Linked DNA regions of Macaca mulatta. Each later gene encodes a partner of the first gene's protein in a complex. Links are inferred from orthologs where the notes say so. Each region holds a gene or a part of one and is shown in the gene's direction. Other genes may lie near its edges. The genes, in order: guanine nucleotide-binding protein G(s) subunit alpha isoforms XLas, FZD3, GPR21, OR51E2, SCTR, GPR3 and HRH2.

Region 1 (3,219 bases):
CCTTTAATCAATGAGATTCTTAAAAAGTGAAAAGGAAGGGCTACAGATTCTCAGTAACTAAAACAATCTCATGTGCCCTTGAGGAGAAAGTCCTTGATGTTTTTAAGAATGTCACTTTATTTATTTATTTTTTTAACTGAATGATACAGAGGTATACAATTTTCAAACTGCCATTTTAGGCAGGAAATTTGAAAATTGAAATGTTTTTGTCAAGCATTACCAAATGGCACAGATTGTGATAGGTCAGCCTGGTTTTGGGGTCCTTTCTCTACTGGTTGATATGCATAAAACCTTTTAAAAATCAAGAATATTACCAGAGAGCAACAGGAATAAACAAGCTAAGTAAAGAAGAAAAAAGAAAAATAGAAAAAAATAAACATGAAGAACAAAGCCCCACCACTGTCCTGTGCTGTTTGTGTGGCCCCACTGCACCGAGGCCGCAGGCTAGCTGCTAGACGCATCTAGAGTTCCCTGATTCCTAAAATTATTTATCTTAAATCCCATTTGGCCTAACTTTCTTAAGGCATCAGCTTTGAGTTATAAATGTAACCAACACACAAGCAAATATGCCATTGACTTAGTGCTGCATAACTGTGGGACGGTCACTTCCGTTGAGCCTGACCTTGTAGAGAGACACAAATAGTTGGCAAATTAATGTGAACGCTGTGAACACCCCATGTGCCTTTCTTTTTCTCCCAGCTTCCTGGACAAGATCGATGTGATCAAGCAGGCTGACTATGTGCCGAGCGACCAGGTGTGCAAAACCCTTCACCACCAGAGGACCCTGAGCCCTCTTCCCAAACTACCCCAGACTTTTGCTTTAGATTGGAAATTATTACTATTTCGATTGGCTTTGCTGAGATCCATTGACCTCAATTTTGTTCTAGGACCTGCTTCGCTGCCGCGTCCTGACTTCTGGAATCTTCGAGACCAAGTTCCAGGTGGACAAAGTCAACTTCCAGTAAGCCCACTGTTACCTTTTTATATAACAGAGATCATGGTTTCTTGACATTTACCCCAGCCCCTCTGGAATAACCAGCTGTCTTCCTCTCCACCAGCATGTTTGACGTGGGTGGCCAGCGCGATGAACGCCGCAAGTGGATCCAGTGCTTCAATGGTAGGACGCTGTGGGCTTGGCTGTTCGTGAAGAACGCTTTGCTTCTGTGTTGTTAGGGATCAGTGTCGCTGCTCACGCTCTTGGCTTTGCTTTCTTTGGTTAAGATGTGACTGCCATCATCTTCGTGGTGGCCAGCAGCAGCTACAACATGGTCATCCGGGAGGACAACCAGACCAACCGCCTGCAGGAGGCTCTGAACCTCTTCAAGAGCATCTGGAACAACAGGTTTGTGGAGTGACCGCCCACCCCCTGCGCTTGCCCAGGAGGCCCTGGTCTGCACTGTTTGTAGAAAAGAACCCTGTGCAAGCATTCCAGACCCCTGGCCAAAAGCGCGCTTCTCCCGGGCATTCACACGGCCTCCCTTCTTGTAGATGGCTGCGCACCATCTCTGTGATTCTGTTCCTCAACAAGCAAGATCTGCTCGCTGAGAAAGTCCTTGCTGGGAAATCGAAGATTGAGGACTACTTTCCAGAATTTGCTCGCTACACTACTCCTGAGGATGGTGTGTATGGCTTCCACTCTTTTGCTGGCTGTTCATTGCAGTGGTTCTTTTTCAAACAGTAGGGCTGAAAGCCGCCATCCCCCTCCCACCACCAAACCATAAAGCATCTGTAAGAGAAGCAAGAAAAACACACTTGCATTAATTCTCATATGGAAAAATCAGGGTTTTGAAGACTTCAGGAGCTACAATGATGCTAGCACCCCAGCTCTGCTTGACTTTTTAATTACATTAATATATATTCCCTTTTTTTTATAGCTACTCCCGAGCCCGGAGAGGACCCACGCGTGACCCGGGCCAAGTACTTCATTCGAGATGAGTTTCTGGTGAGTTGAGCCTGTCTTTAGTTTCCTCTCTTGCTCCTCCTCTTTTTCTCATGGATGTAAATTTACTTCAGGGGTTCAGCTACCCAGGTCCATGGTTTTAGTTCACGCACATCCAGTGTGGATTTGAGTTCTTTGCACCCCTCCTTTTGCTTTCGTTTTCATATGACATCAGAGACTGGCCAACAGCCGTCCCTGGTAGGTGTCCCCATCAGTGATAGGGTGGTTCCTGGCGAGGGTGTCACTGACGAGTCCCTGCGTTTGTACCCGCAGAGGATCAGCACTGCCAGTGGAGATGGGCGTCACTACTGCTACCCTCACTTCACCTGCGCTGTGGACACTGAGAACATCCGCCGTGTGTTCAACGACTGCCGTGACATCATTCAGCGCATGCACCTTCGTCAGTACGAGCTGCTCTAAGAAGGGAACCCCCAAATTTAATTAAAGCCTTAAGCACAATTAATTAAAAGTGAAACGTAATTGTACAAGCAGTTAATCACCCACCATAGGGCATGATTAACAAAGCAACCTTTCCCTTCCCCCAAGTGATTTTGCGAAACCCCCTTTTCCCTTCAGCTTGCTTAGATGTTCCAAATTTAGAAAGCTTAAGGCGGCCTACAGAAAAAGGAGAAAAGGCCACAGAAGTTCCCTCTGACTTTCAATAAAAATAAATAAAACAACAGCAGCAAACAAACAAAATGAAATAAAAGAAACAAATGAAATAAATATTGTGTTGTGCAGCATTAAAAAAAATCAAAATAAAAATTAAATGTGAGCAAAGAATGATGGGACTCCCGTGAGTTATTTGTGGTTCTGCGCAGATTCCTGTCATTCATGGTTTGACTTGGCCCTTACATCAAAAGTTGGGAGGCCCCAAGGTGAAGTGGGTATAAAATCTCACCACTGTATGTTTTCTGGTGACTGTAAAATGTAGGTGTCTTGAAATAATTTTCAGACAATAGGAAAAGTCCACTCCTGTTGATCTCCCAAACTTTTACCCCATAGTGGACCACTATGCCCCAGTCACCTCTACATTTTGATCACTGCCATCCTATCCAAAGATTCTGCCAACTTATGCCATTACATCATCACACAGTTTGCCTGCTGACCCAGGCTTCCTAAGAAAAGTAGTGTATTTTTTGCTATAAGATAGGGACTAAATGATGTGGAGAAATACAGGAGCGCCGCGTTTCAAATCAATGGGGTTATTCAAGAAATGGTGTAGCCATTTGGGGAAAATTTAGACTGGATCCCTACCTCATTGCACACACCAAAATGAA
Region 2 (3,516 bases), on another chromosome or scaffold:
GGTAGCCATTGAGAGGTGAAAGATCTCCAAATCAGCTGCCAAGTCATATTTGGAAACTTGGAAAAATCTTCTACTCAGTTTTAAGGCAACAACCATTATGCAGAATAATAATTATTAGACTAGAATAACAAGCCCATTCTGAAATGTTTTCATCTGCAAACATTGTCATTATTTACCGAAACATGCAGAACAAATTTAAAACTGTTTTAGGTCCTAAATATGAAGTTATCTTTTAATGAATGAGAAATAACATTTTACCTATTAACATGAGAAATGTTTAAAATATTTATCTTTTCATATTTAACTTTTCTTTTTTGCTTTACTGAAACAAAAATACATGTTTTTGTTTTTTGAGACAGAGTGTCGCCCTAGTCGTCCAGGCTGTAGCAAAGTGGTGCGACCTCGGCTCACTGCAACCTCTGCCTCCAAGGTTGAAGGAATTCTCCTGCCTCAACCTCCCAAGTAGCTGGGATTACAGGTGCCCACCACCACGCCCAGCTAATTTTTGTATTTTTAGTAGAGACGGGGTTTCACCATGTTCGCCAGGCTGCTCTTGGACTCCTGACCTCAGGTGATCTGCCCTTCTCAGCCTCCCAAAGTGCTGGGATTACAGGCCAGAGCCACTGCGCCCGGCCAAAATACATGTTTTTTTGAAAAAATAATTTTCAAAGGACTTCTCAAGTTTTAAACTCTGATCTAATGAAAATGTTACTAGAAGATCACCTCTGTGGTGTATGAATCTATCTTTAAATTTTATAAATAATTCACACTGAGTCATGAAATTTGTTACAATTATTTTTGTGAAGGAATGGTGGATTAACGCTTTCTGACAGCCAACAGATCTGCAGCTGCTTATGATTAGTTTTTTTGATGACTGTTTAAAAAAAAAAAAAAAACCTAGCCTGCTATATATTATTTTTAGAAACGTTACTTAAAACTTAATCTTAATTAAAGTTATAGATTATACTAAGTTTTCTTTGAGGTTTATTATCCTAAATCAAATACTTTTACAAAATGGTATATGTATAGGTGTAAGTATAAACAAAAAGTATTTTAAACAAATACTTCTTGAGGCACTAGGGATTAAAGGATAAAATATGGTCCTTACCTTGAAAGAGCACACTATAAAGCCAGAATCATTGATAAATAGCATGCTAGCTCCATAAGCAAAGGCCTAATAAAAAAGTCATAATTGATTTTCCTGACCTTGACTGGCCTAGAGCTAATCTTATTCCTCATGGCAAAGCTCAGTGAGTCAGGACTGCAACAAAAGAAAATTTAACAGCTCCATTGTTGCTTTCCAAGATAAGTGCAGAGAAGGAGACAGCCTGCAGTTAGCAGAGGGAGCCCAGCTCACAAACTCCAAGCTGGGTCTAGAGCTGAAGGTACAAAGAATTTACTTTAGCCAGAATATAGGTTACAAAGTGTTAGGACGTAACTTCCAAGCAGATGTAGCTTCCATGAAGGAGCATCTTCACAGCCTGAAGCCCTGATGAGAGGTAATTAAGATAATTTACAGGTAGTTAATTCAGTTGTTAACTGGGCTATCTGGAAAGCAGCTTTCGGCACATACTGTCATCATTGCTTGCCAGTTTATTCATTTATTTATTTTTTTAGGTTATACCGATTTCACCTCTGATTTCATATTCTCCCTCTTCCAATCAGAGTCTTTTAATAAAATTTGAGTGTACCCGTCTACTGATCATAGCCACTCTTCTTGGCTGCCAGGGACAATGCCACATTTCTTCTATTTGTTGTTACCCCTCTCCCTGAACCCACCCTGTTCAAAACTCATTTGAATGACAAAGGTATCCATATCTAGTGCAGCTTTAAATCGATCAGCCTTATTTAATCTTAGCTTCTGTCCTTTTGCAGAGAATGAATGGAACCTTAATTCTGAGTGGATTATTTCTTCTCTTTTGTTGGCCATGTCAATAATTCTACAGTGTTAACGAAGTTAAGCAATCAAAAGTTGGTTATTACTTTCTCATGGTTGATTTCCTAATAATTTCCCTTACTGAGGCGTTTTTATGAAAATTATTAGTGTTATTAATTTTCTAGTGTGTTCTGTTACCCACTTCAAAATAAACTCTCTCGTGACAGGTACACGCCCTGCAGTTACAGAGGAATGGAGGAGAGACTACCTCATGGCAGCATGTCACGACTAACAGATCACTCCAGGCATAGTAGTTCTCATCGACTCAATGAACAGTCACGACATAGCAGCATCAGAGATCTCAGTAATAATCCCATGACTCACATCACACATGGCACCAGCATGAATCGGGTTATTGAAGAAGATGGAACCAGTGCTTAATTTGTCTTGTCTAAGGTGGAAAACTTGTGCTGTTTAAAAAGATTTTATTCTTTGCCTTTTGCATGACTGATTGCTGTAACTCACTGTTAACATGCTTTCAGTCAACTACAAATTGTGTCCACTGGAAAGGTAAATGTTTGCTTTTTATATTGCATCAAACTTGGAACATCAAGGCATCCAAAACACTAACAATTCTATCATCACAAAAATAATTCGTCTTTCTAGGTTATGAAGAGATAATTATTTGTCTGGTAAGCATTTTTATAAACCCACTCATTTTATATTTAGAAAAATCCTAAATATGTGGTGACTGCTTTGTAGTGAACTTTCATATGCTGTAAACTAGTTGTGAGATAACATTCTGGTAGCTCAGTTAATAAAACAATTTCAGAATTAAAGAAATTTTCTATGCAAGGTTTACTTCTCAGATGAATAGTAGGACTTTGTAGTTTTATTTACACTAAGGGAAAAAAGAACTGTGTTTTTAAACTGTAGGAGAATTTAATAAATCAGCAAGGGTATTTTAGCTAATAGAATAAAAGTATAACAGAAGAATTTGATTAGTCTATGAAAGGTTCTCTCAGCATTCTCTCGAAATAATCTTCATCCAGAGATATTCAGGATTTGGATTAGCAGTGGAATAAAGAGATGGGCATTCTTTCCCCTATAATTGTGCTGTTTTTCTAACTTTTGTAAATATTACTTTTACTGGCTGTGTTTTTATAACTTATCCATATGCATGATGGAAAAATTTTAATTTGTGGCCATCTTTTCCCATGTAATAGTATTGATTCATACAGAACTTAATGTTCAAAATTTGCTTTGTGGAGGCATGTGATAAGATAAACATCATACATTATAAGGTTCTTTGTGGTAACCACACTTACAAAATGGCAAAACGTTTTCTCTGTATTCATTGTTGTATTTTTCTATAGTGAGATGTGATCTTGCCAAAGCCACCAGACCTTGGCTTCCAGGCCCTCCTATAGTGAGTTGATTGTCTGCACTTGCCTTGCCCAATAGCCAGTAGGCTACAGCTTTTGCCCCACACCCTTATTTTCAGATTCTGGATCATTCTTGTTTACAACTGAAATATATATAACCTCAGTCCAAAGTGGTGATTGATTTGATATTGGAAAATCACTGTAGCTAAATGAAGCATGATTAGTAGTCTTACTATGAATATCATTTAATCTTAA
Region 3 (4,207 bases), on another chromosome or scaffold:
GGCCATTTGTCTGTAATAAGAAAGCATGTGTATAAAATGAATTAAAAATGAAAGTTGGATCACACATTTTACTCAGTTGCCTACCTCTTGGAAAGCTTTCAAATGATAGCATTTGTTTATTGTCTTTTACTCTGCTGGATACTTTCAATTAATCCTTCTAAATACTAAAATTACACATTTTCATAGCACCCAACTCTGTTACCTGAAAATTGTCATCATTTATGACATTACTAGGAAAACCACAATATAATCCCAGTTTGCATTGTTTTAAATAGGCAGAAACAAGATTGTATATTCTAAGATACAAAGGCTTATTTGTACCATGAAACCTCCTGTAATATCCATGCCTGAGTAGAAGAAGGTACATTTACTTTTCTATCTTTTGTTTGTATTCTTGTATACTGCTCAGCAAATTAGAAGCAAGAAATGTATCTCAAAACTATAGGGTAGTGTCAAATATGGGAACAATGTAATTTCTCTGTGCTATTTCTGTAGTATTCAGAATGGGAAATACTTTACTTTTCTCTTGAAAAAGTGATTTTAAAGTTTCTTGGCCAATATTCAGTGAATCATGAGAGACAAAATTAATGGTGAATAGCCTTCTAGCTAGAACTTCTTGTGCAGCTGAATTATGATTGTCAGTTGCCATATGCCATACACTTAAAGGAGGTTAATATACTTCCTTTCTTTAATATTGCTCTTTGTTCTTTGGGAAAATGCCATGAGAAAATAGGAATTACCACTCTGGCAGTGTGTTTCAGTCTAACTCCTGACACCCTGTTCTGCTCCTGCCCCTTCTCCTTGCTAGCAGCCTGAATTCTGCTTATCTACTAAAAGGGGGATTCCAGACAGACGAGGAAACAGCTTTCAAATGAGGCACTGCAGGCATAGCAAGCCATTCCCACACTGTGCAATCTGGAAATCAGGGGGCACCTCTCTGACGATGAATTCCAATTAGTTGCTAAAGATTCCGGAGTGTGTGCACATACAGGCGTTTTCTTTCCCCTCCCCCTTTCTTCTTTTTCCCAAGCCCCCTCTTCTCCCTGTTTCCCCTCCTACTCCTTTATCCCCTCCCTTCGTGTCTCAGTTCTGCAGTACGCGAGTTGAAGCACATTCCTGCTTTGCAAGGCTTTCTGTTAAGGATGTATTGTGGCTTTTGTTTGGATTGCAGCATGCAGAATTACAGGTAACATTCTGAAATTGAACTAAACAGCAAATTCTGTTGAAATGTTTTCAAAGAGGCAAAATATTATATTGGAATCAATGAAGAAAGTAAATTATTTTGGCTATTTTTATTAGTGGTAATTGTAGTGAAAGGTTTTCATAAATATTATAAGCAAATTCCCTTTTTCCCCCAAGTCTCAAATGAAAGGAAATGGGGGTAAATTAATCTGACTGTGATTGGTTTTGTTTTATGCTGATCTTGAAAGCTTGATGTTGCTGCTGCTCCTCTATACAGTACAGATCAGTTATGTGGGGTGCTATTGAGGGTAGCCATGAATAGTGGTGCTAGTAGGGGTGGAGTGGGAGGGATGATGCCAGCCTGAGCTAGCCAGGTTCTTTGATTAGGGCATTGGATGTGAAATGTAAAATGCTCTCTCCTTTTCTTCTATCAGCTGTTCAGAGGAGACTCATTACAACTCCTGCTGAAGCTCCTAATCTTCTTCCCTTCTCTTCTACCCTTTCCCCCTACCCTCACTTGGCCTGAAGACGTTGTCCCCAGAGTTTACGTTGCTCCCCTGGTGCTATGTGTATGGTGAACCTGGCGCTATGGCCACGTCTGGGACTGGCCAGACAACTACTGCTGGCTCTCCTTATTCCAGGAAGGATTTAAAGGGGAATTGCACTGCAGGCAATGCACCAGAGCAGCAGCATCGGGAGCTTGGGGACTAAGGCTCCTCTGGCATTATTACACACATGCAAAGCTGACCGCAATGACAGCAGCTGCTTCTTTGAACTGTTGGCAGCAGCCAAGCGGCAGCATGAAGTGACAGATCACTCCTGAGCTCAAGATGAACTCCACCTTGGATGGTAATCAGAGCAGCCACCCTTTTTGCCTCTTGGCATTTGGCTATTTGGAAACTGTCAATTTTTGCCTTTTGGAAGTATTGATTATTGTCTTTCTAACTGTATTGATTATTTCTGGCAACATCATTGTGATTTTTGTATTTCACTGTGCACCTTTGTTGAACCATCACACTACAAGTTATTTTATCCAGACTATGGCATATGCTGACCTTTTTGTTGGGGTGAGCTGCCTGGTCCCTTCTTTATCACTCCTCCATCACCCCCTTCCAGTAGAGGAGTCCTTGACTTGCCAGATATTTGGTTTCGTAGTATCAGTTCTGAAGAGCGTCTCCATGGCTTCTCTGGCTTGTATCAGCATTGATAGATACATTGCCATTACTAAACCTTTAACCTATAATACTCTGGTTACACCCTGGAGACTACGCCTGTGTATTTTCCTGATTTGGCTATACTCGACCCTGGTCTTCCTGCCTTCCTTTTTCCACTGGGGCAAACCTGGATATCATGGAGATGTGTTTCAGTGGTGTGCGGAATCCTGGCACACTGACTCCTACTTCACCCTGTTCATCGTGATGATGTTATATGCCCCAGCAGCCCTTATTGTCTGCTTCACCTATTTCAACATCTTCCGCATCTGTCAACAGCACACAAAAGAAATCAGCGAAAGGCAAGCCCGCTTCAGCAGCCAGAGTGGGGAGACTGGGGAAGTGCAGGCCTGTCCTGATAAGCGCTATGCCATGGTCCTGTTTCGAATCACTAGTGTATTTTACATCCTCTGGTTGCCATATATCATCTACTTCTTGTTGGAAAGCTCCACTGGCCACAGCAACCGCTTCGCATCCTTCTTGACCACCTGGCTTGCTATTAGTAACAGTTTCTGCAACTGTGTCATTTATAGTCTCTCCAACAGTGTATTCCAAAGAGGACTAAAGCGCCTCTCAGGGGCTATGTGTACTTCTTGTGCAAGTCAGACTACAGCCAACGACCCTTACACAGTTAGAAGCAAAGGCCCTCTTAATGGATGTCGTATCTGAAGTGGCTCAGTTACGGGGTTCCCCTGTGTGTGTGTGTGTGTGTGTGTTTTATCTCTAAGTATTCCTCATTCACTAGGAAATCTGAGACAGAATACTTTGACTCTAAGCAATAGCATGCAAATTATTCGTACGGATACCTTCTAAGTTTGTAGAAATGGTTTTCAAAAGTGCTTTTGAATTAGAAGACTTAAGATCATGAAGACAAATTGCTGTTGCTTTCAATTTTTGAAATGTCTTGGAAATGACTACAGTTCTCAGATTTAGAATGAATAAAGCCATATCTAACACCTCTTTCCAGCTGGCATGACTGAACCTGAGTGTGAAAAGCGTCAGCATTTTAAAAAGTCATCATTTTGTTGTCACTTTGTGGGTTATTTCCAGCTATTTAGGCTTCATGTGCAATTGATTTCTTCTAACAGGGAATAGTAAAATATAAATTAAAAGGTTTTAGAAATTATTTTTTATGTATGCCAAAGCATAACTACACTGCAAGTTTCAACACTGTCATTTAGAAAGCCAAATGTTCTATGTTTTATTCTCTTGAGAGAATTCTCAGTAGGGTGAATAATGTGAGCACATAAACACTAATTTTAGAATTTTACAGTGAACCATGAAGCAAAAGTGCAATCAAATTATACAGTTTATGAAAAACTGTGCTACTTTTTGTGCCATACTTCACAGAGATCTAAAGATATGTGTGCATAGAAGTGATCATGTTGTAGTATTTTTGCCTGTGCCTTTGTGTTATGTCTATATTTAGAATATCTGAATTGTTAGATTTATCTTTTATGGCAAAATGTGTTTAAGCTAAAAAATAATTCAGTGATAGGCTGTTGGCTGTACATTTTATAACAGTGACTATGTACAAAAATGTGTCTTTAATATTGTCTGTTCTTTCTATTCAAAGACTTCCGAAATATTAGAACATCAGGGAGAAGGGTATCTGTCATAAGCAACTGAGTCAGAAAGTATCCCATAGTATACTGATTGTTTTTTAAAAATATAAGGGAGCTGAGACATTTTCTTTGTGGTTAAATGGAATCAACTAGTTATTTTTGAAAAGTATTCTTTCAGTTAGTGCTAAGGAATCCACATTTGAAGAGGGGAAGGGGAAACTCTTAAGTCTCTTATTGCTATTCTCTTTC
Region 4 (4,116 bases), on another chromosome or scaffold:
AAGAAAATCACTCAGGCCATCACATTTTCAGTAGTGAAACAGACTTGATAGTGGGGAGGATATAATATCGGAAGCAGGGAGAATGGTTAGGAAACTACTGAAATTACTCAAGTGAGAGATAATTGTGACTTAAATAAAGGTGACATTTCTGGAGATGATAAAGAGTGATCAATTTCTGGTCGTATTTTTCAAAGAGATTGACAAAATTTACTGATGGATTAAATGCAGGATGTAAGAGACAGAAACCGAGAATGAATCCAAGTCCCACATGCCCGAAGAGTGGTCCAAAATTAGTGGGAATATCTAAGGATTTAAAGAGGTCATTAAGTAGACAAGATGGACAACTTATAGCAATCTATGCATTCTATTTATTAAAGACTAATGAGAGCAATAGTAACCTGACAGAAGGTGACATCAATCACCCATCTACCCACAATTTTTCTTGATATAATACAAGATTTTCAAAATTAGACTACAAGTAGGGAGAACCCCAAATTATTGTGACTAATTCTCTTCAACCTGGTAGGTTGGGACTTCAAAATATAAAACAGGTCAAAATTACAAAAAATAAATGAAACTGTATTTTATGCACAACTAAGTTGTGAACTAAGACTTTTTTACCTACCGTATTCACCAAACATTTGGTTCATGCCTCTAGGATAACCTTATCATTGGTTAACACGTAATTATTGGTTAACCTATCTTCTACACTAAAATCCTAAACAGTAAGAATTATGGTGTATTCTTAAAAAAAACTCTATCACTGAGCATAATGTTTAGAATATGGGACATTCTTATGAAATATTTACTGGTTATATGTATGGATGAGTAAATGAATTATTTTTTATCTATAAGAGAAAGACTGCTGCTGCAAAGAACCACAAGCAGACTAATGAAACCATGCTGCTGTGAATAATAATAGATACTGAGGAGTTAAGGGCTAGAGTTGGACTCTCACTCATAATAGGAGATGCCATTTAGCAATTTGATACAGTATTTTGTCTTTTAAAATCTCCTTCAGAGTGACTGCTAGTGATTATGAGGTTCCTTTTAAGGGTAATGAAAATGTTCTAAAATTGAATTGTGATGATGTTTTTTGCACAGTTCTGTGACTTTACTAAAAACAATTGAATCATACACTATAAATGGGTGAATTTTATAGTATGTGAATTATATATCAATAAAGCTGTTAAATAAAAAAGCTTTTGAGTAAATGACACATGAACAAAAAGTTACCTCAGCCCATAAAGCACATAGCCACCATAAGTAATTGCATAATGAAACGGATATAAAAGGACTATATGAGGCAAAAGAAGTCTTCTGGGAATCTCCACACCCTGAAGACACAGTGAGTTAGTAGCACCACCACCAGGAACTGGCCTCTCAGCTCTGTGCCTGTCTCCAATCAGGCTGGAATAAGTCTCCTCATATTTGAAAGCTTGGCCCTCCCCTGGAATCTAAAGCCTCTCAGCCTTCTGAGTCAGCCTGAAAGGAACAGGCCGGACTGCTGTATGGGCTCTGTAAGTAAAACTGTTTTGTTCAAGGAAAATGCTTGACTCTAGATGAATTGGACTTTCTCACCCACAGGGAATAATTTCTTCACAATGTGCAGAATTAGATTAGATGTTGGGATGGTGGGCTGAGGAGGATGGTAGAATTTGCAGAATTATTTATTCTCAGGAAATAGGTAGAGAATGGGTATTTTGTTCTGCCTGATACAGGTTGGATAACTTGTTTTTCGTCAAATGATTTAATTAGTGTGCTAATATATTTATCACAGTCAGTGAATCTCATTTCTATGCCCAATAGCTATTACTAAAAATGAAAAATTACCAATTTCGAGCACGTTGCATGCCAGCTACTGGTATTAGACACAGTGCATATCCTGTCTTATAGATGAAGAAACTGGATCACAGAAAGTTTGTATTATTTGTAGATTTCAGAAAAACAATTGTTTTTGAGAGCATGAGCTTTGGAATTAAAAACACGTGGGTTAAAAATTCAGCTCTGACTTTCACTAGTTGTGTGTGATTTCAAATATGTTTCAGAACTTCTGATACTCAGTGTCTTTACCAGAAAAATTAATTTAAAGTGAATCTAATAATACTTGTCACATGACGATATACTAAGAATTAAAATAATGCTTATAAAGCACTAAGGACAATAATGTTCACAAAACAAGTGTCCAGTAAATGGTTGCTATTTTTATGAGTAATATTTTTATTAATGGTGTAGATGGTCTCAAAACTGGTTAGTGTTTGAGCTAGAATCTGAACTCAGGTCAGTTACACACGATAGCCATACCATTGCCAATAGCATGGAGAATACTGATGACACTATACGGTCTAGTTCAGCAGATTAAGAGAGCCACAAGCTATAGCTTATAATAGTGCAGTGAAAGAAGAGTATCATCATAATCTGAGTAGGCAGGAAAATTAGTTGAGAGAATATACCTTATTTCGCAAGAGAGAAAATGAAGGTATGTATGAATTGCAGAGGATGGGTCGGAAAGATTTGAGAGTGAAGGCAGCACAAAAGAGAAGCTTGGGGGAAATTTAGTGCCTCCTTCTAAGAATATTCATTAGTCCCCCTCTAGTCTTGGATATAAACACTTAAGATTTTTTCAATGTAAGAAAAACACAATGAAATAATAGCTTCAAATACCCACTACTAACAATTGCTTGGCCTTCTTATATAGACCTCCCGAGGTTCTCATTTTTTGCATTTCAGGAGTAGAATCAATTAAAAACTAATCTTTATATGTAAGGGATGAGAGAGAGAAAGACGAAGGTGTGTGTGTGCACACATGTGTGTGCATATGGTGGGTAGTAATTTTAATTCAGTGATTTGCTAGAGTTCGATGCCATTTGCTGATAAATGAAGCAGGAGGAAGAGCCAAGTTTGGAAGGGAGGAGAGAATGAGTTCTATTTGTCTCATACAGAGGTTGAAGTAACTGAGTGATGATGGGTGAAGATGTCCCTCAGGGGTTGCCATAGTATTTTATTTACCTTTTATTCACCACGTGAAGCATGGAGCTTTGTTCTCCAAAGTGCTATCAATTATGTTTCTAAATTACAGGTTTGATTGCTTCACTGTATTTTCACATTTCATTACTACCTTTACACTTAAAACCAGAAACTTTGCCACAGCATTAAAGATTCTGCTAACTTTTAAAACATAGAACTCTGGAGATGCCATAATTAGATTGCAGATTTATGAGTCTTCTGGATATAAGTGCTATTTAAAGCCATGAGAATAACCAAGATATCTCAAGGAGAGCATATGAAAAGCAAGGAAAGAAGAGATACTTCTTGGGAGAAAAGCAGACTCCTCTAGACTCCCACAATTTATAAGGTAGAGAACAAAACCATTGTTTGACAAACAGAAAAAAAGAAAAAAAAACACCTCACAGAATAACCATCATTGAAGCTAATGAAGGAGAAAGTTTCAAGGAGGAGGAGGTAAACATTGCCGAAAGTTGAGATGAGGGAGAGAGAAACAAATCTGAGATTAAACTTTTGGACTTGGCATGTAGAAAATCACGGGTGACATCATTTGGAGGATTTTCAGAGTCATTAGGGAAAGAATTCAGATTGTTACTGAAGGTGAAGGAATAATAAACAAAAGCAGATTGTTCTCCAAAGGAATTTTTATCCTTATAAAAGATACAGCAGGAAATTGAGAAAGAAACAGGGTTTATGTCTTGTATCCCTCACTATCACTATCAAAGCACAAGGCTAATTATGAAAACTATTCAATATATCCTGGTTGAAATGAATGGTTTGGAAATATCTATATAAAACTGTGGGAAGCTTTTATTGTTGAGTTAGAGTAAAACTTGAGTATTGCAGACTGCAAAAAAGCAACCAATGGTACTAAACAAGATACTAAAGAGGGAAAGGAATTTTGTTGGCATTAAATGAGAAGAGATGGAAAATGATTTATTTATTAAAAGCAAAGCTCCTTGCTTCCAGTGGTCAATAAAAGGTGAATAAAATGTTTAGAAATGTCTGGCTCTTGATGCTCTGCAAAAATTTAAGTTCATTACACTTTCCACGAAATTCAGGATTTTCATGATTTGACCTCTGCTGCTTCCTCTAGCTTCATTTCCCACA
Region 5 (4,075 bases), on another chromosome or scaffold:
TCCGCAAACATCCTTGCACATTTCATTAGGCCCTTGGGTGAGTATTTATGTAGAAAGAGTTTCTAGAAGGAAGTTGGTGATTATGTATACTTTAGGTTTGATGTGTACTGAGCATTGATTTTGGACCTAGAAGCTGAATGGATTTTCCTCCCTTTTATTTCTTCTGGGATTTACCAGCCTTGATTTATTAACAGTCTCTTCTGGTAGGGAAGGCTGCTAAGGACAAGAGCACATTGTTACTTTACTAGCTGCATGGCCGTCTGAGTAGAGGCCAGTTACAGAGAGTCAGGTCAGCCATGGAAGGGTAGATCCAGGCTTTCCTGTCTGAGCCTCTGAGTTGCAGTACCCAGACATGTAATGAAACCTCCTCCACCTTCAATGCCCTCCTCTGTCAAATGGGCATCATATCACCTAGGGGTTTGAGGGAGAATTAAATGAGCTGATGTACTTCAAGTGCCTGGGAGAAAGATAAAGAAAGGGGGAGAGAGAAGAGGGAAGGGAGTAGGCACCAGTGCAGACAAAGAAAACTTGAGTTTACAAGACCCATCTAGGGCTGGACTCAGTGGCTCATGCCTATAATCCCAGCACTTTGGGAGGCCGAGGTAAGAGGATCTCTTGAGCCCAAGAGTTCAAGACCAGCCTGAGCAACATGGTGAAACCCTCTTTTTTATGTGACAGTAAAAAAAAGGCCATCTGGGGCGCCTTGTACTCCAGGATAGGGAGCACCCTTGGAGTGGGCTACTGGGACTATCTGCCTGAGGCTTAAATAGCTTCCCAGGCGGTTCATCCTCAGGACAGTCCCCAGATGCCTGAGTATACCACAGATCTTCCTTGGTCATCATCAAAGGAGGAGCTCATCGGAGTGAAACTTCATGGAATGGGAGCTAATGACTTCAATAATTAAGAAAAAAATACAGAAAATCGGAAATAAAGTGCAAGTAGCTGTCTGGGGAGAATAGATGCAATGGGCCTTGACTGTGTCACAACTTTCAGTCTGAGAGTGGGTATTCTCAGATGTGTTGTTAGGGCTGAGAAAGCCGAGGCTTACAAAGGTGACCTAAGTTGCCCACCGACCCCCTAGCGAGCTTGCGCCTTCGGTCCGTGGACTCCAGAAACAGTGCTCTTTCTGGACCTGGGGTAGTGCGGGATTGCCGCGTGGTAGACTAAGCCAGCGTGCCCTCTCCTGGCCTCCTCCAGCTTGGGCCCAGACTGCGGGAGCCTACTCCGGCCCCCGCGCCCTCCCTCTGCCTCCTCCCCTGCTGGCCTCCGCGCCGGCCCCCAGCCAGTCCCCCGCCGGGTGGAGGAAGCGCGCCGGAGCCGCCGCGTCCTAATCAATGGGCTGGGCTGCTGAGCGCGCGCGGCCACCTGGTCCGAGGAGGAGCAGTCCCCGGGCCCGCCGCAGGTCGGGTGGCTCAGCCATGGCTCCTCTGGGCGCAGCGGCCGGCCGGAGCCCGGGATCGTGCGCGGGGCGCTGAACTCCCGAGTGGGCAAAGGGCACGGGCGGGTGGACGTCGGGGCGCCCTCGGGGAACGTGCGGGCACGATGCGTCCCCACCTGTCGCCGCCGCTGCAGCAGCTACTACTGCGGGTGCTGCTCGTCTGCGCCGCGCACTCGGTGAGTACTGCCCCCTTCTGAAGGCTAGGGGACCCAGGGAGCGACAGTCTCGCCGCTTCTCCGGCCTTGGCAGGATGCGGGTGGAGGGGACTAGCAGATCTTCCGCTGAGGAATGGGGACTCTTCCCTGTCAATCCTCCCAACATTAATCTCTCCCAGCTCTTCTCCGCAGGGACCCCTTCCCAAAGAAAAACCTTGTGCGCGCCACGCGAAGGCAGCTCCAAGATGAATCCCCGTGCCCCCCACCCACCCCTTCCTCTAGCCTGGCTTCTGAGACACTCCTAGACGGAAATTCTGGAGCCGCCCCGGGCAGTGCCTATTGTGTCCTGGGCGCTTTGCCTCCAATCTTTCCTTGAAACCTCTCAATCACCTTTCGAGGCTGCTATTACCATCCTCACTTTATAGACAAGGAAAGGAAATGAGAGGGGGAATAACAATTCTTGCTCCAAGTCAGAAGAAGAGGATTGCAACCCACATCAGTATCAGTCTGCCCCCAAACCTTGACATTTTCACACTCACGGGCTGCAGATGGGAAAACCTGAAGGGAGCTCCGGCAAGAGCTTCCGGGTCTGCGATGGGACCGTCTGCCACTCTCCCCACACCCTCTCGTGTGGGACGCGGCTCCCTAATGTCTGCGTGTCTGGTGGCTGCTGGGTGCTGCTGTTCCCCAAAGCCAGGTCCTGGCAAGCGGCTGGAGGAGGAAAATACTACTACTAATAATAATAGCGGCAGGATGGGTGGTTTGTTTTTCTTTCCTACAGAAATTCCTGGGAGTCTCCGGCCTCTCGGAGCTCTGGGATCTGTGATAAAGAGAGTGGCCCCACCCAGACCAGCAGAAAGGAAGGAATGGGGAGGGAGTGGGGGTTAGAGGTGGGGGCCAGATTCCAGAATCATCCCTTCCCACTAGCATTCCAAACTGGTCCCCAAGGTGTCTGTTCCAAGAAGCTCCTAGGGAAAGTGCTTGGGGACCCAGTTGAGTCTCTGATCTCTGTCCTGGGCAAGTCTCCTGGTGTCCAACCTCCTTGTCTTCCCGTAGTCCCCTCCGGTTGGATTATAAGGAAAATCAATGCTCCCAATGTTGACACTCAGGAGATGCTCATTTTTCTGGTAGCCCCAAGACTTTCAGCAGCAGTAGTTGGGATGAGTGCAATTTGGAGCTTGCTTGGAACTCCCTTTCCACGGTGGAGCCTCCTCTCTTCAGTGGCAGTGCTGGCCTTGGAAGATGCTAGAGCAACAGCATGCACTCATGAGTTTCGACTCCCAGTTTGGAGAAATGCCAACTGGGATACTGGGGACAGTGTCAAGCCAGGTAGAGCCTGGAGGTGTGTTATTCCGTGGCTAGGGGTAGGAGAGGCAATAGCTCCTTCCTTGGGACCCTCCCAGCCTCCTTCTTAAGTATTTGCAGTGACTCTGAGACTGTCATAACTGGTACCTCAAGTGCAGGACTGAGGTTCAGTCTGCATTCTTGTCTCAAGAAAATTCCTGGATTATCACAGGAATAAGTGGAAGGGGAAAATGAGAGGCTTCCCTTGGTTTAAGTCTTCAGTGTACCTTGGAAGGATGCTTCATTAGGCTCTGGCCCCAATCCCTTATTTTAAAAATGAGCACACTGAGACCCTCAGAGAGAAGGGAGCTGCCCGACATCAGCAAGTTAGTAGCAGAGCCAGGACTAGCAGCTCTACTAGCCCCACACACCCCACTTAACCCACTAAGGTTAGCACCCAGGTCTCTTGATTCCCAACCATCCAGGGCTCTGTCTGTTATGCCCCTTCTTTTTCCTTTTTTTCTTTTTCTTTCTTTCTTTCTTTTTTCTTTTCTTTTTTTTTTTTTTTTTGAGACGGAATTCATTCTTGTTGCCCAGGCTGGACTGCGATGGCGCGATCTCAGCTCACTGCAACCTCCGCATCCCAGGTTCAAGTGAGTCTCCTGCCTCAGTCTCCTGAGTAGCTGGGATTACAGGCATACACCACCATGCCTAGCTAGTTTTTTGTATTTTTAGTAGAGATGGGGTTTCTCCATGTTGGTCAGACTGGTCTCAAACTCCTGGCCTCAGGTGATCCGCCTGCCTCTGCCTCCCAAAGTGCTGGGATTAGAGGCATGAGCCATGGCACATTACTGTCTTACATAATCATAAGATGGTTTTCTGTGTATAAGTTGTGGCCCTTGGATTACTTTATGGCTTCTGTAGACCTTATATCTCACACTTCTTGGCTGAGAACGCCTGTAATAAATAGGAGTGAAACTGACCTACTTTGGTTGGAATATTTCCCAGCCTCTGGAGCCCTGCTTTCCTTCTGTTTGACTCTGGGTGGTCAGACATTTGATTCTGAAATCTAAGTGTGTTCAAATAATTTTTTATTCATTAGAAGCTCCCCCTCGAGGGGAATTATAGGCATCTTCCTAATGGAGGGAGGTCACTGAGGGCAAATTGCTTATTACCACTCTCCCTCTACTCCATATAG
Region 6 (4,026 bases), on another chromosome or scaffold:
TCAAGGCAAGAAACACAGGGAGAAAGAGCAGTCAGTCCCCCTGCCACAGGACTGGCCACATCTGTCACATCTGGAGAAATCTGCCCAGAGTGGTTCCCCTGGACTAAGGGCAGTCGGCGTTGGGGAAGAGGGAGCTCCTTCTTGCTCCACCCATCAGGATGCCTAAAATGAGAGGCTGAGAGGGGCCTGCCCTGAGGACTGAGCTGCCAGGCTTTCTGCTTCCAAGTTCTTCCCGGCTCCCCATCTCCTCCTGCTTCGGGGAAGTGCACCCCCGACTCCCTCCCCTCTGGCTTTCTAGATCCTTGAATAAATAATTCAGGTTTTGAAATCTTGCCAGGCCCACCCCTCCGGTGCTGTGAGGGCGCTATTGGGCTGACATGAGTGACGTCACCCAGCTCTTATCCCAGCCCCAGCATCATGGGACCTGCCCTGGCACCAACTTACCTGCCTGGTCACTGTCAGTCCGGACGCTCTACCCTGTGCCCCTCACCCTGGAGCCCACTCACCACGGCCACCTGCTATCTTCCTTCCAGGGCCCCACGGCCCTCATGGCTTAGCATTGTCGCTTCAGTACCCCAGCCCTTCTGACAGGGTCATAGTGACCTGAAGTCACCTGGACACTCCATGTTCCCAGGCTGCCGCCTCTGCCATCCCGGGGTCCCTGAACTCCTCCCTGCTGCAGAGTCACCGTCACACTGCCATGGTTGCCCTGGGGGTTTCCTCTCTACCGTTGGTGTCCCACGGCCATCACGCCCCCCAAGATTCTGTCACCATGCTAATGTCACTGCCACCCACCTCCCCGCTCCCTCGTGCTCCCCGTCATCGTCACCTCAGGGCCCCATCATCTTGGCAACCCTGTCATCCTCACCAGGGACGCCCAACCAGCCCCATCACAAGCTCTTCCTTCGTCATCTGGATCTCGTCAGCCTCTCTGCCACCCAAGGGTCCCATCACCCCACAGCCTAGCCGGGTCCCCTTCCACCACGTTCCCAGCAGCCTCCCTGAGACTACAAGGCTCTCCCACCGGCGCCGCTGAAACCCCCGGCCCGCAGAGGGCGCCGCGTCAAGGACAGCGCGGGCCGACTCGGGAGGAGGCGGGGCCGCAGCCACAGTCGCTTTTTATGAATGGGGGAGCGGGCGGCGCGAGGCCTCATTATTATGCCGCGCAACGCGCTCTGCGCCCCAGCGCTCCGCGCCCATTGGCTAATCGGGCCGCTGACGTCACCGAACCGGTGGCCGGGGGCGGGGCGGGACGGGGTGACTCACGCCGCTTCTCCCGCGGCCGCGGGGGCTTCTCGGGGTCCACGCACGCCCTGCGCCGCCAGGACCCGAGCGGAGCCTCCCCGCGGCCTGGCCGCGCCTGGTCCTGAGCGGTGAGTAGTGGGCCCCGCCGCGGACACTAGGGGTCCTGGAGGGCACGCAGGATGCTGGGGCACTGGGCCGGCGGAAGACTCCTAGCGGCCGGCCAGGGTCCGAATTCCAGGTGGGAATTCTGGGTTTAGGCGATTCTGGGTTAGCAGACGTGGGCCTAAGTGCTTGAGTGCTGGGGCTCAGTTGGATGACCCGGCGAAGGGTGAGCATTCCTGCAGGGACCCGAGGCCCTGGAGGGACTGATGGTCATCTGAGGTTAAGCCGGCAGGAGGCGTCTGGGGCAGGGACCCAGGCGTCCGAACAGCAGGAGGTGTCCGACTTGGGAATCCAGGTATCTAGACAGAAGGCGGAGTCAGGCCCCAAATCCAGGTGTCCGGGCAGAAGAAGGCATCTGACTCAGGGATCCGGGCTTCCAGCAGGGGGGTCTGCCTAGAGACCTAGAGATGCAGGCAGAAAGAAGGGTCCAGCCAGGGACAGAAGCCTGGGAGGGTGGCGGGTGGGGTCTGAGTTCCCAGGTGTTACCGCGGGAGTGCGGGGTGGTGGCTGGTGGGAGCTTCACGCGCATTCCCCGGGGGCGGAGTCTAAGGCTGGCAGTACTGAGAATCGTGAGGGGTCTGGGAGACTCAGGCACGAGCTAGCATCATCATCTCTGATGGGAGGGAGCAGAGCCGCTCAGTCTCCAGATGTTTCCCTACCCCAATCTTGAGCCTTTGGGGGCATCCCCTGGATCCTATGGCCCTCATCCGCTTATAGTACCCCTTCTTCTGTCTCTCCTCTGGTCACACACATGGAAAAAGAGACGTGCAGGACCTAGGACAGGGATCCCCAGGAAGAGACCCCTGTTTAGAGGCCTGGGGGCATTGGAGAGGACAGCGGTATCCTGGGAGGAGCCCCAGGGGATGAATGTGGGGATAAGGCGTTGGGACCCTATAAGGTATCCTGAGGAGAGACTCCCACCATGTATCCTGAGGGGCACCTCACCCCCTCCAGACCCCACCTCGCATCATCCAGCTTGGTCAGCTTCTCACAAGGCCTTTCTCCTACAGGTACCATGATGTGGGGTGCAGGCAGCCCTCTGGCCTGGCTCTCAGCTGGCTCAGGCAACGTGAATGTAAGCAGCGTGGGCCCAGCAGAGGGGCCCACAGGTCCAGCTGCACCGCTGCCCTCACCTAAGGCCTGGGATGTGGTGCTCTGCATCTCAGGCACCTTGGTGTCCTGCGAGAATGCACTAGTGGTGGCCATCATCGTGGGCACGCCCGCCTTCCGTGCCCCCATGTTCCTGCTGGTGGGCAGCCTGGCCGTGGCAGACCTGCTGGCAGGCCTGGGCCTGGTCCTGTACTTTGCTGCTGTCTTCTGCATCGGCTCAGCGGAGATGAGCCTGGTGTTGGTTGGCGTGCTGGCAATGGCCTTTACCGCCAGCATCGGCAGTCTACTGGCCATCACTGTTGACCGCTACCTTTCTCTGTACAATGCCCTCACCTACTATTCAGAGACAACAGTGACACGGACCTATGTGATGCTGGCCTTAGTGTGGGGAGGTGCCCTGGGCCTGGGGCTGCTGCCTGTGATGGCCTGGAACTGCCTGGATGGCCTGACCACATGTGGCGTGGTTTATCCACTCTCCAAGAACCATCTGGTAGTCCTGGCCATTGCCTTCTTCATGGTGTTTGGCATCATGCTGCAGCTCTACGCCCAAATCTGCCGCATCGTCTGCCGCCATGCCCAGCAGATTGCCCTCCAGCGGCACCTGCTGCCTGCCTCCCACTATGTGGCCACCCGCAAGGGCATTGCCACACTGGCCGTGGTGCTTGGAGCCTTTGCCGCCTGCTGGTTGCCCTTCACTGTCTACTGCCTGCTGGGTGATGCCCACTCTCCGCCTCTCTACACCTATCTTACCTTGCTCCCCGCCACCTACAACTCCATGATCAACCCTATCATCTATGCCTTCCGCAACCAGGATGTGCAGAAAGTGCTGTGGGCTGTCTGCTGCTGCTGTTCCTCTTCCAAGATACCCTTCCGATCCCGCTCCCCCAGTGATGTCTAGCTGAGTCTTCGTGATCCTTCAGCCCTGATCACTACAGAATCCCAGAATGTTAGGCTCTCCAGGGCTTCTTTCCAAACCCCCAGCTCCACACCCCCCAGACCCAGCTGGTTCTGGAGTTCTACGACATTGGGTGTTTGAAGGTTCTTGTTCAGATCCCTGTGGGGGTCCAGCTGGCTCCATGGTTCCAGAATGTTCAGGTGGTCAGGGATCTACTCAGAAATGTCTCACAGCCCAGCTGGCTTGCAATTCCGGAATGCTGGGAGTTTTACAGTGCCATTCCAAGTCCCAGATGTCCCTCCTCCCCCATACTTGACCTTAACCATGTCACTTTACGTTTGAATTTCTGAACTAAAGAGTCAGAGAGATTAGTCACATAGTTGCCTAAATAGGAGAGAGAAAGATTATATACGCGCACATACAAAGAGAGTGTCTATTTATGATTTATTTATTTATAAATTTACTTATGGGTGGTAAGGGGGGAAAAAGATACCCACACCTTGATATCCAGGCCATACCAGGGTACCCGTTGTCCCCTCACCCCCATTTCTGACCTCAGTTCCTGGAGGGGGGAAAGGGAGAAAGAGAAACCACGTATTTTGTTATTATTTTGG
Region 7 (4,149 bases), on another chromosome or scaffold:
TCTTCCCCCTGCAGATGGCAGCTCAGATTGTTTTCCATTCTTGCCATTGCACATCTGCCAGTGGACATCCTTGTGCACATATCCTCATGACAGCAGTTGCACTGCCGTGGGCTGGGCTCCCTGAAGGATGGCTTAGATCTAAGCAACCTAGAGGGCCATCCATTATATATTGGAAATTTTAAAAGAAGTGAAGGAGAAGCAGTTGCTCAGTAGCGTGTATGCTGTGTATGGACAGTGCCCGGGGTGTGTCCATGTGCATGCAGAGGCATGAGAAATGCAGGAGGCCCCCACATACCAAATGGTCAGCAGCAGTCACTTCCTGGTGCAGGGGCGCAGGTGTGTGGTGGCCCTGATTTTTGGCCCTTTCTGTACACCTCAGGGGTACTTGGCTTACTGGAATAAGCCTGTCATCACTTGAGAAGTTTGAAAGGACAGTTTGAGAGACTATTTTTTGTTAGCTATGATGGTGACAACGATGGTGACAAGGATGACATGATTCTTCCTCACAGGCAAAGAGAAGCCATTGAAGGTTGCTCCATAAGGGGATGACGTGGCCCTCTAAGGCAATCCTTCTGCCCACATGGGACAGGAGAGGATGGGAGGGAGACAGAGCGCCGTACAAAATCACCTGCCCTCGAAAAAGGTGACCAGAATTTACGGGAGCTGGGCTTTAAATAGGAATACAGCAGAAGTGGTTCTTCTTTGAAAACTCCATGAAGAAAGGACTCACAGCTGTTTTGGTCATCATTGTCCTCCCAGCACCTGGAGAAGCATCTGACACATTCTGGGTTTTCAGAGAAATGTGTGTTGAAAAGGACTGAGGAAGAGAAGGAGGGGTGGGAGGGGAGAGAAGGAAAGAATTTTCTAATTATAGGAGAGGCTGGTTCACTCAGATTTGAAGACCTCTCATCCAAACATAACTCAAATGTCAGCCTGATGCCAAAATACCTATACCCGGCTGTTGGGGTAAGTCAGAAAAAATTTTGATGAGAAATAGGGATTCTCAAAAAAAATACCCTGATTGCTACCCCCTCCAAAGTTAATTAAGTGTGGCGGTGAGACCCATGCTGTTTGGGCTATTTATATAATGAAAAGATCTGCTAAAAATAATACCCGGAGGTTCAGCTGCCAGGACTGGTGGCTGAGCCAGGGAGGGTGGCAGAAGGTGATCGGGAACCCTGATCCCTGCACGAACACAATCGTTATGATTAAATGATGCTTCTCGTATTCAGGTTGCAAACCGCTCCAGGCAAGAGCCTGGGAGAGGCTTAATTTATGTTTTATGGAGATTAGCTTGCTTCTGAGAGGAGGTTCCACCGTCAACTCGATTTCTGCACACTCTCAGAGCTCAGGAGATTGCCTGCTCTCTGAAAAACCAGGAGAAGCTGGTAGGGAAGGACCGGGGCGTGGAGCAGGGCCTCCGCTTGTTTCTGGCCAGCTGGAATCATATACAGCCACCACTGGGAGGGCGCCTTGGAGATTATCTGGTGACCAGGGGCTCTTATTTAACCAAGAGGCATTGCACATGCAGTTACTTTATTGAAGTAGTGTTTGCACTACTTCAATAGTGCAAAGGGAGGAAGGGAGGAAGGAGAAACCACCCAAATGCCCGTGAGAGGGTGATATGGGGAAGATAGGATAAACCTATTCATGGTGAGCCTCCCCACAGACTCTTATGCAACCATTAGAAGGATTGAGTGAGTTCTGTCCCTGCTGACCTGGATGTGGGATCACGTGTTCTGCCAAGTAAGACCAGTAAGATTTAGAGATGTGTTCAGAGCAGGGGTGGCGTGGATGACAGGTGACGAACTGCAGACTAAATCTGGCCCTCTGCCTGGCTTTGTACAGCCCGTGGCTAAGAATGGTTTTTACATTTTTAAATTTTGGAAAAAGATCAAAAAGAGATTTTTGTGACACGTGAAAATGATATGAAATTTAAATTTCAGTGTTCATTACTGAAGTTTTGTTGGAGTGCAGCCACGCTCTTCTGTCTGCACGTCATCTGCATAGCTGCATTCTCACTGCAAAGGCAGAGCCGAGCCGTCACAGGCTGCTAGGCAGAACGTGTTTATTACCTGACCCTTTTCTGAAAAAGTTTGCCGGCCACCACCTTAGAGTATGAAGACATTTTGCCCAACAGCAGCACCAGATACTGTTCTCAGCACTTCAGAGGAGTAGATTCGTTACATTTGTTTATTCATTCATTCATTTTATCCTTTATTCATCAGACGCTTAATGTCTGTCTGTGGGGCCAGGCACCAGGAGCAAACAGATGCAGGCCCTCTTCTAGTGGAGCTGAAAGTCTGTGTCTAGATCCTTCTTTTCTCAGTGCAAGCACTTCCAGCTTTTCCAACTCTTCTCACAAGTCTCAGTATCTAACCCCTTGCATCCTGCCTCCCTTCTGCCTCCCCATTATGTATCCTGATTGCCCGAGTCCCTCCCAAAGAGAGGTATCCAGACTGGCCCCATACTTCCTGGGGTCTTGCCAAGAGGTTGAGATCTAGTAGAAGGATACATCTTGAATCGGGTCATGCTTTCTATCTGGTTTCAAGGTGCTTAACATCCAACCTTTGCCTTTTTAGCTCCTGCCCTCCACTGACTGCAGAGAGGGAGATCCTCAATACTTGACTCCATCACGCAGATGGGAGCAGGCACCAGCTATGGAGAGGGATACAGCTGTGTCTCCACATGACCCATCCTGTATGACACCAAAGCCACCGCCAGACAGTGCCTCGGATTCTATGCAAAACCCGGGGAGTGGAGACCTACCCCAGTCCCGGGAGGAAGCTAGCTCTTCAGGGGATCATCTGAGGACTGGAGTTTGATACATGAACCTGGCTTCAAGGCTTTGCTTTTCTCTATTCTTCATTCATATTCATTCTCAACACCTTAGAAGGTGTTGCTTAATTTATTTCTAGAAAAGCAGCCCAGAGTCAGTCATTGAAGCCTTCCCCACCCCCTGGCCAAAAAAAAAAAAAAAAAAATTGGACACATTTTGGCTCTGTTGGGAGCCTGGAATTCAGTGGTTGGCATAATTGTCACATTGGGAGCGGAGAAGCAGCAGCCAGGGGCCCTGGTCAGGGGACCGAGCCATAGGGTCCCAGCATGGCACCCAATGGCACAGCCTCTTCCTTTTGCCTGGACTCTACCGCCTGCAAGATCACCATCACCGTGGTCCTTGCGGTCCTCATCCTCATCACCATTGCTGGCAATGTGGTCGTCTGTCTGGCCGTGGGCTTGAACCGCCGGCTCCGCAACCTGACCAATTGCTTCATCGTGTCCTTGGCTGTCACTGACCTGCTCCTCGGCCTCCTGGTGCTGCCCTTCTCTGCCATCTACCAGCTGTCCTGCAAGTGGAGCTTTGGCAAGGTCTTCTGCAACATCTACACCAGCCTGGATGTGATGCTTTGCACAGCCTCCATTCTCAACCTCTTCATGATCAGCCTCGACCGGTACTGCGCTGTCATGGACCCACTGCGGTACCCTGTGCTGGTCACCCCAGTTCGGGTCGCCATCTCTCTGGTCTTAATTTGGGTCATCTCCATTACCCTGTCCTTCCTGTCTATCCACCTGGGGTGGAACAGCAGGAACGAGACCAGCAAGGGCAATCATACCACCTCTAAGTGCAAAGTCCAGGTCAATGAAGTGTACGGGCTGGTGGATGGGCTGGTCACCTTCTACCTACCACTACTGATCATGTGCATCACCTACTACCGCATCTTCAAGGTCGCCCGGGACCAGGCCAAGAGGATCAATCACATTAGCTCCTGGAAGGCAGCCACCATCAGGGAGCACAAAGCCACAGTGACACTGGCCGCCGTCATGGGGGCCTTCATCATCTGCTGGTTTCCCTACTTCACTGCGTTTGTGTACCGTGGGCTGAGAGGGGATGATGCCATCAATGAGGTGTTAGAAGCCATCGTTCTGTGGCTGGGCTATGCCAACTCAGCCCTGAACCCCATCCTGTATGCTGCGCTCAACAGAGACTTCCGTACCGGGTACCAACAGCTCTTCTGCTGCAGGCTTGCCAACCGCAACTCCCACAAAACTTCTGTGAGGTCCAACGCCTCTCAGCTGTCCAGGACCCAAAGCCGAGAACCCAGGCAACAGGAAGACAAACCCCTGAAGCTCCAGGTGTGGAGTGGGACA

What was found.
Region 2: the proteins of guanine nucleotide-binding protein G(s) subunit alpha isoforms XLas (region 1) and FZD3 are in contact, whole or in part, in a cryo-EM structure (PDB 8JHI), measured with the Homo sapiens proteins. The link is inferred for Macaca mulatta from reciprocal best matches to the Homo sapiens genes GNAS and FZD3. Residues at the interface, in NP_000507.1 of Homo sapiens: Lys34, Tyr358, Gln384, His387, Leu388, Tyr391, Glu392, Leu393, Leu394; in NP_001399840.1 of Homo sapiens: Arg232, Lys318, Ser321, Glu322, Leu397, Val400, Lys408, Lys413, Leu414, Phe417.
Region 3: the proteins of guanine nucleotide-binding protein G(s) subunit alpha isoforms XLas (region 1) and GPR21 are in contact, whole or in part, in a cryo-EM structure (PDB 8HMV), measured with the Homo sapiens proteins. The link is inferred for Macaca mulatta from reciprocal best matches to the Homo sapiens genes GNAS and GPR21. Residues at the interface, in NP_000507.1 of Homo sapiens: Gln35, Arg38, His41, Val217, Pro321, Asp323, Arg342, Asp343, Leu346, Arg347, Thr350, Tyr358, Cys359, Pro361, Phe376, Cys379, Arg380, Asp381, Ile383, Gln384, Arg385, His387, Leu388, Gln390, Tyr391, Glu392, Leu393, Leu394; in NP_005285.1 of Homo sapiens: His61, His62, Thr64, Arg127, Ala130, Ile131, Thr132, Pro134, Leu135, Thr136, Tyr137, Asn138, Thr142, Pro143, Ile214, Ile217, Cys218, His221, Thr222, Asp224, Ile225, Arg228, Gln229, Arg231, Phe232, Arg249, Tyr250, Val253, Leu254, Asn308.
Region 4: the proteins of guanine nucleotide-binding protein G(s) subunit alpha isoforms XLas (region 1) and OR51E2 are in contact, whole or in part, in a cryo-EM structure (PDB 8F76), measured with the Homo sapiens proteins. The link is inferred for Macaca mulatta from reciprocal best matches to the Homo sapiens genes GNAS and OR51E2. Residues at the interface, in NP_000507.1 of Homo sapiens: Gln31, Gln35, Arg38, His41, Asp215, Val217, Phe219, Tyr358, Phe376, Cys379, Arg380, Ile383, Gln384, Arg385, His387, Leu388, Arg389, Gln390, Tyr391, Glu392, Leu393, Leu394; in NP_110401.1 of Homo sapiens: Met58, Tyr59, Asp120, Arg121, Ala124, Ile125, Cys126, His127, Pro128, Leu129, Arg130, His131, Ala132, Leu135, Asn136, Asn137, Ile220, Thr223, Val224, Leu227, Pro228, Ser229, Glu232, Lys235, Ala236, Thr239, Cys240, Lys294, Thr295, Lys296.
Region 5: the proteins of guanine nucleotide-binding protein G(s) subunit alpha isoforms XLas (region 1) and SCTR are in contact, whole or in part, in a cryo-EM structure (PDB 6WZG), measured with the Homo sapiens proteins. The link is inferred for Macaca mulatta from reciprocal best matches to the Homo sapiens genes GNAS and SCTR. Residues at the interface, in NP_000507.1 of Homo sapiens: Gln35, His41, Val217, Phe219, Thr350, Tyr358, Phe376, Cys379, Arg380, Asp381, Ile383, Gln384, Arg385, His387, Leu388, Gln390, Tyr391, Glu392, Leu393, Leu394; in NP_002971.2 of Homo sapiens: Arg174, His178, Tyr239, Leu240, Leu243, Leu244, Ala245, Ser247, Phe248, Ser250, Glu251, Arg252, Leu320, Lys323, Thr326, Gln327, Thr329, Arg339, Arg342, Ser343, Leu347, Tyr388, Leu391, Asn392, Gly393.
Region 6: the proteins of guanine nucleotide-binding protein G(s) subunit alpha isoforms XLas (region 1) and GPR3 are in contact, whole or in part, in a cryo-EM structure (PDB 9LYB), measured with the Homo sapiens proteins. The link is inferred for Macaca mulatta from reciprocal best matches to the Homo sapiens genes GNAS and GPR3. Residues at the interface, in NP_000507.1 of Homo sapiens: Gln35, Arg38, Ala39, His41, Val217, Phe219, Asp323, Asp343, Leu346, Thr350, Tyr358, Cys359, Phe376, Cys379, Arg380, Asp381, Ile383, Gln384, Arg385, Met386, His387, Leu388, Gln390, Tyr391, Glu392, Leu393, Leu394; in NP_005272.1 of Homo sapiens: Met75, Arg134, Ser137, Leu138, Tyr139, Ala141, Leu142, Tyr144, Tyr145, Glu147, Ile216, Ile219, Val220, Arg222, His223, Gln226, Ile227, Leu229, Gln230, Arg231, His232, Lys244, Gly245, Thr248, Arg300.
Region 7: the proteins of guanine nucleotide-binding protein G(s) subunit alpha isoforms XLas (region 1) and HRH2 are in contact, whole or in part, in a cryo-EM structure (PDB 9IXJ), measured with the Homo sapiens proteins. The link is inferred for Macaca mulatta from reciprocal best matches to the Homo sapiens genes GNAS and HRH2. Residues at the interface, in NP_000507.1 of Homo sapiens: Gln35, Arg38, Ala39, His41, Asp215, Lys216, Val217, Asp343, Leu346, Arg347, Thr350, Tyr358, Phe376, Arg380, Asp381, Ile383, Gln384, Arg385, His387, Leu388, Arg389, Gln390, Tyr391, Glu392, Leu393, Leu394; in XP_006714928.1 of Homo sapiens: Arg116, Ala119, Val120, Met121, Pro123, Leu124, Arg125, Tyr126, Pro127, Val128, Ile205, Val208, Ala209, Gln212, Ala213, Arg215, Ile216, Ile219, Ser220, Trp222, Lys223, Lys231, Ala232, Thr235, Leu236, Leu291, Asn292, Arg293, Asp294, Arg296.

The regions. Positions count from the first base shown.
Region 1 is NC_133415.1:111,699,117-111,702,335, forward strand, and holds the end of guanine nucleotide-binding protein G(s) subunit alpha isoforms XLas, read left to right. Parts: exon of another isoform or gene 1-699; coding exon 700-754; exon of another isoform or gene 755-887; coding exon 888-961; exon of another isoform or gene 962-1,058; coding exon 1,059-1,117; exon of another isoform or gene 1,118-1,221; coding exon 1,222-1,342; exon of another isoform or gene 1,343-1,488; coding exon 1,489-1,619; exon of another isoform or gene 1,620-1,726; intron 1,727-1,874; coding exon 1,875-1,942; intron 1,943-2,212; coding exon 2,213-2,359; 3' UTR 2,360-2,719; downstream 2,720-3,219. UniProt on the Homo sapiens protein: Guanine nucleotide-binding proteins (G proteins) function as transducers in numerous signaling pathways controlled by G protein-coupled receptors (GPCRs).
Region 2 is NC_133413.1:30,306,517-30,310,032, forward strand, and holds the end of FZD3 (frizzled-3 precursor), read left to right. Parts: intron 1-2,103; coding exon 2,104-2,317; 3' UTR 2,318-3,016; downstream 3,017-3,516. UniProt on the Homo sapiens protein: Receptor for Wnt proteins.
Region 3 is NC_133420.1:24,744,776-24,748,982, reverse strand, and holds GPR21 (putative G-protein coupled receptor 21), read left to right. Parts: upstream 1-1,407; 5' UTR 1,408-2,012; coding exon 2,013-3,062; 3' UTR 3,063-3,933; downstream 3,934-4,207. UniProt on the Homo sapiens protein: Orphan receptor.
Region 4 is NC_133419.1:71,235,958-71,240,073, forward strand, and holds the start of OR51E2 (olfactory receptor 51E2), read left to right. Parts: upstream 1-1,316; 5' UTR 1,317-1,511; coding exon 1,512-1,520; intron 1,521-4,116. UniProt on the Homo sapiens protein: Olfactory receptor. Activated by the odorant, beta-ionone, a synthetic terpenoid. The activity of this receptor is probably mediated by G-proteins leading to the elevation of intracellular Ca(2+), cAMP and activation of the protein kinases PKA and MAPK3/MAPK1.
Region 5 is NC_133417.1:17,985,522-17,989,596, forward strand, and holds the start of SCTR (secretin receptor), read left to right. Parts: upstream 1-1,275; 5' UTR 1,276-1,542; coding exon 1,543-1,614; intron 1,615-4,075.
Region 6 is NC_133406.1:213,563,329-213,567,354, reverse strand, and holds the start of GPR3 (G-protein coupled receptor 3), read left to right. Parts: upstream 1-1,226; 5' UTR 1,227-1,373; exon of another isoform or gene 1,374-1,483; intron 1,484-2,417; 5' UTR 2,418-2,422; coding exon 2,423-3,415; 3' UTR 3,416-4,026. UniProt on the Homo sapiens protein: Constitutively active G-protein coupled receptor that maintains high 3'-5'-cyclic adenosine monophosphate (cAMP) levels that a plays a role in serveral processes including meiotic arrest in oocytes or neuronal development via activation of numerous intracellular signaling pathways.
Region 7 is NC_133411.1:184,605,080-184,609,228, forward strand, and holds the start of HRH2 (histamine H2 receptor), read left to right. Parts: upstream 1-1,349; 5' UTR 1,350-3,105; coding exon 3,106-4,149. UniProt on the Homo sapiens protein: The H2 subclass of histamine receptors mediates gastric acid secretion. Also appears to regulate gastrointestinal motility and intestinal secretion. Possible role in regulating cell growth and differentiation.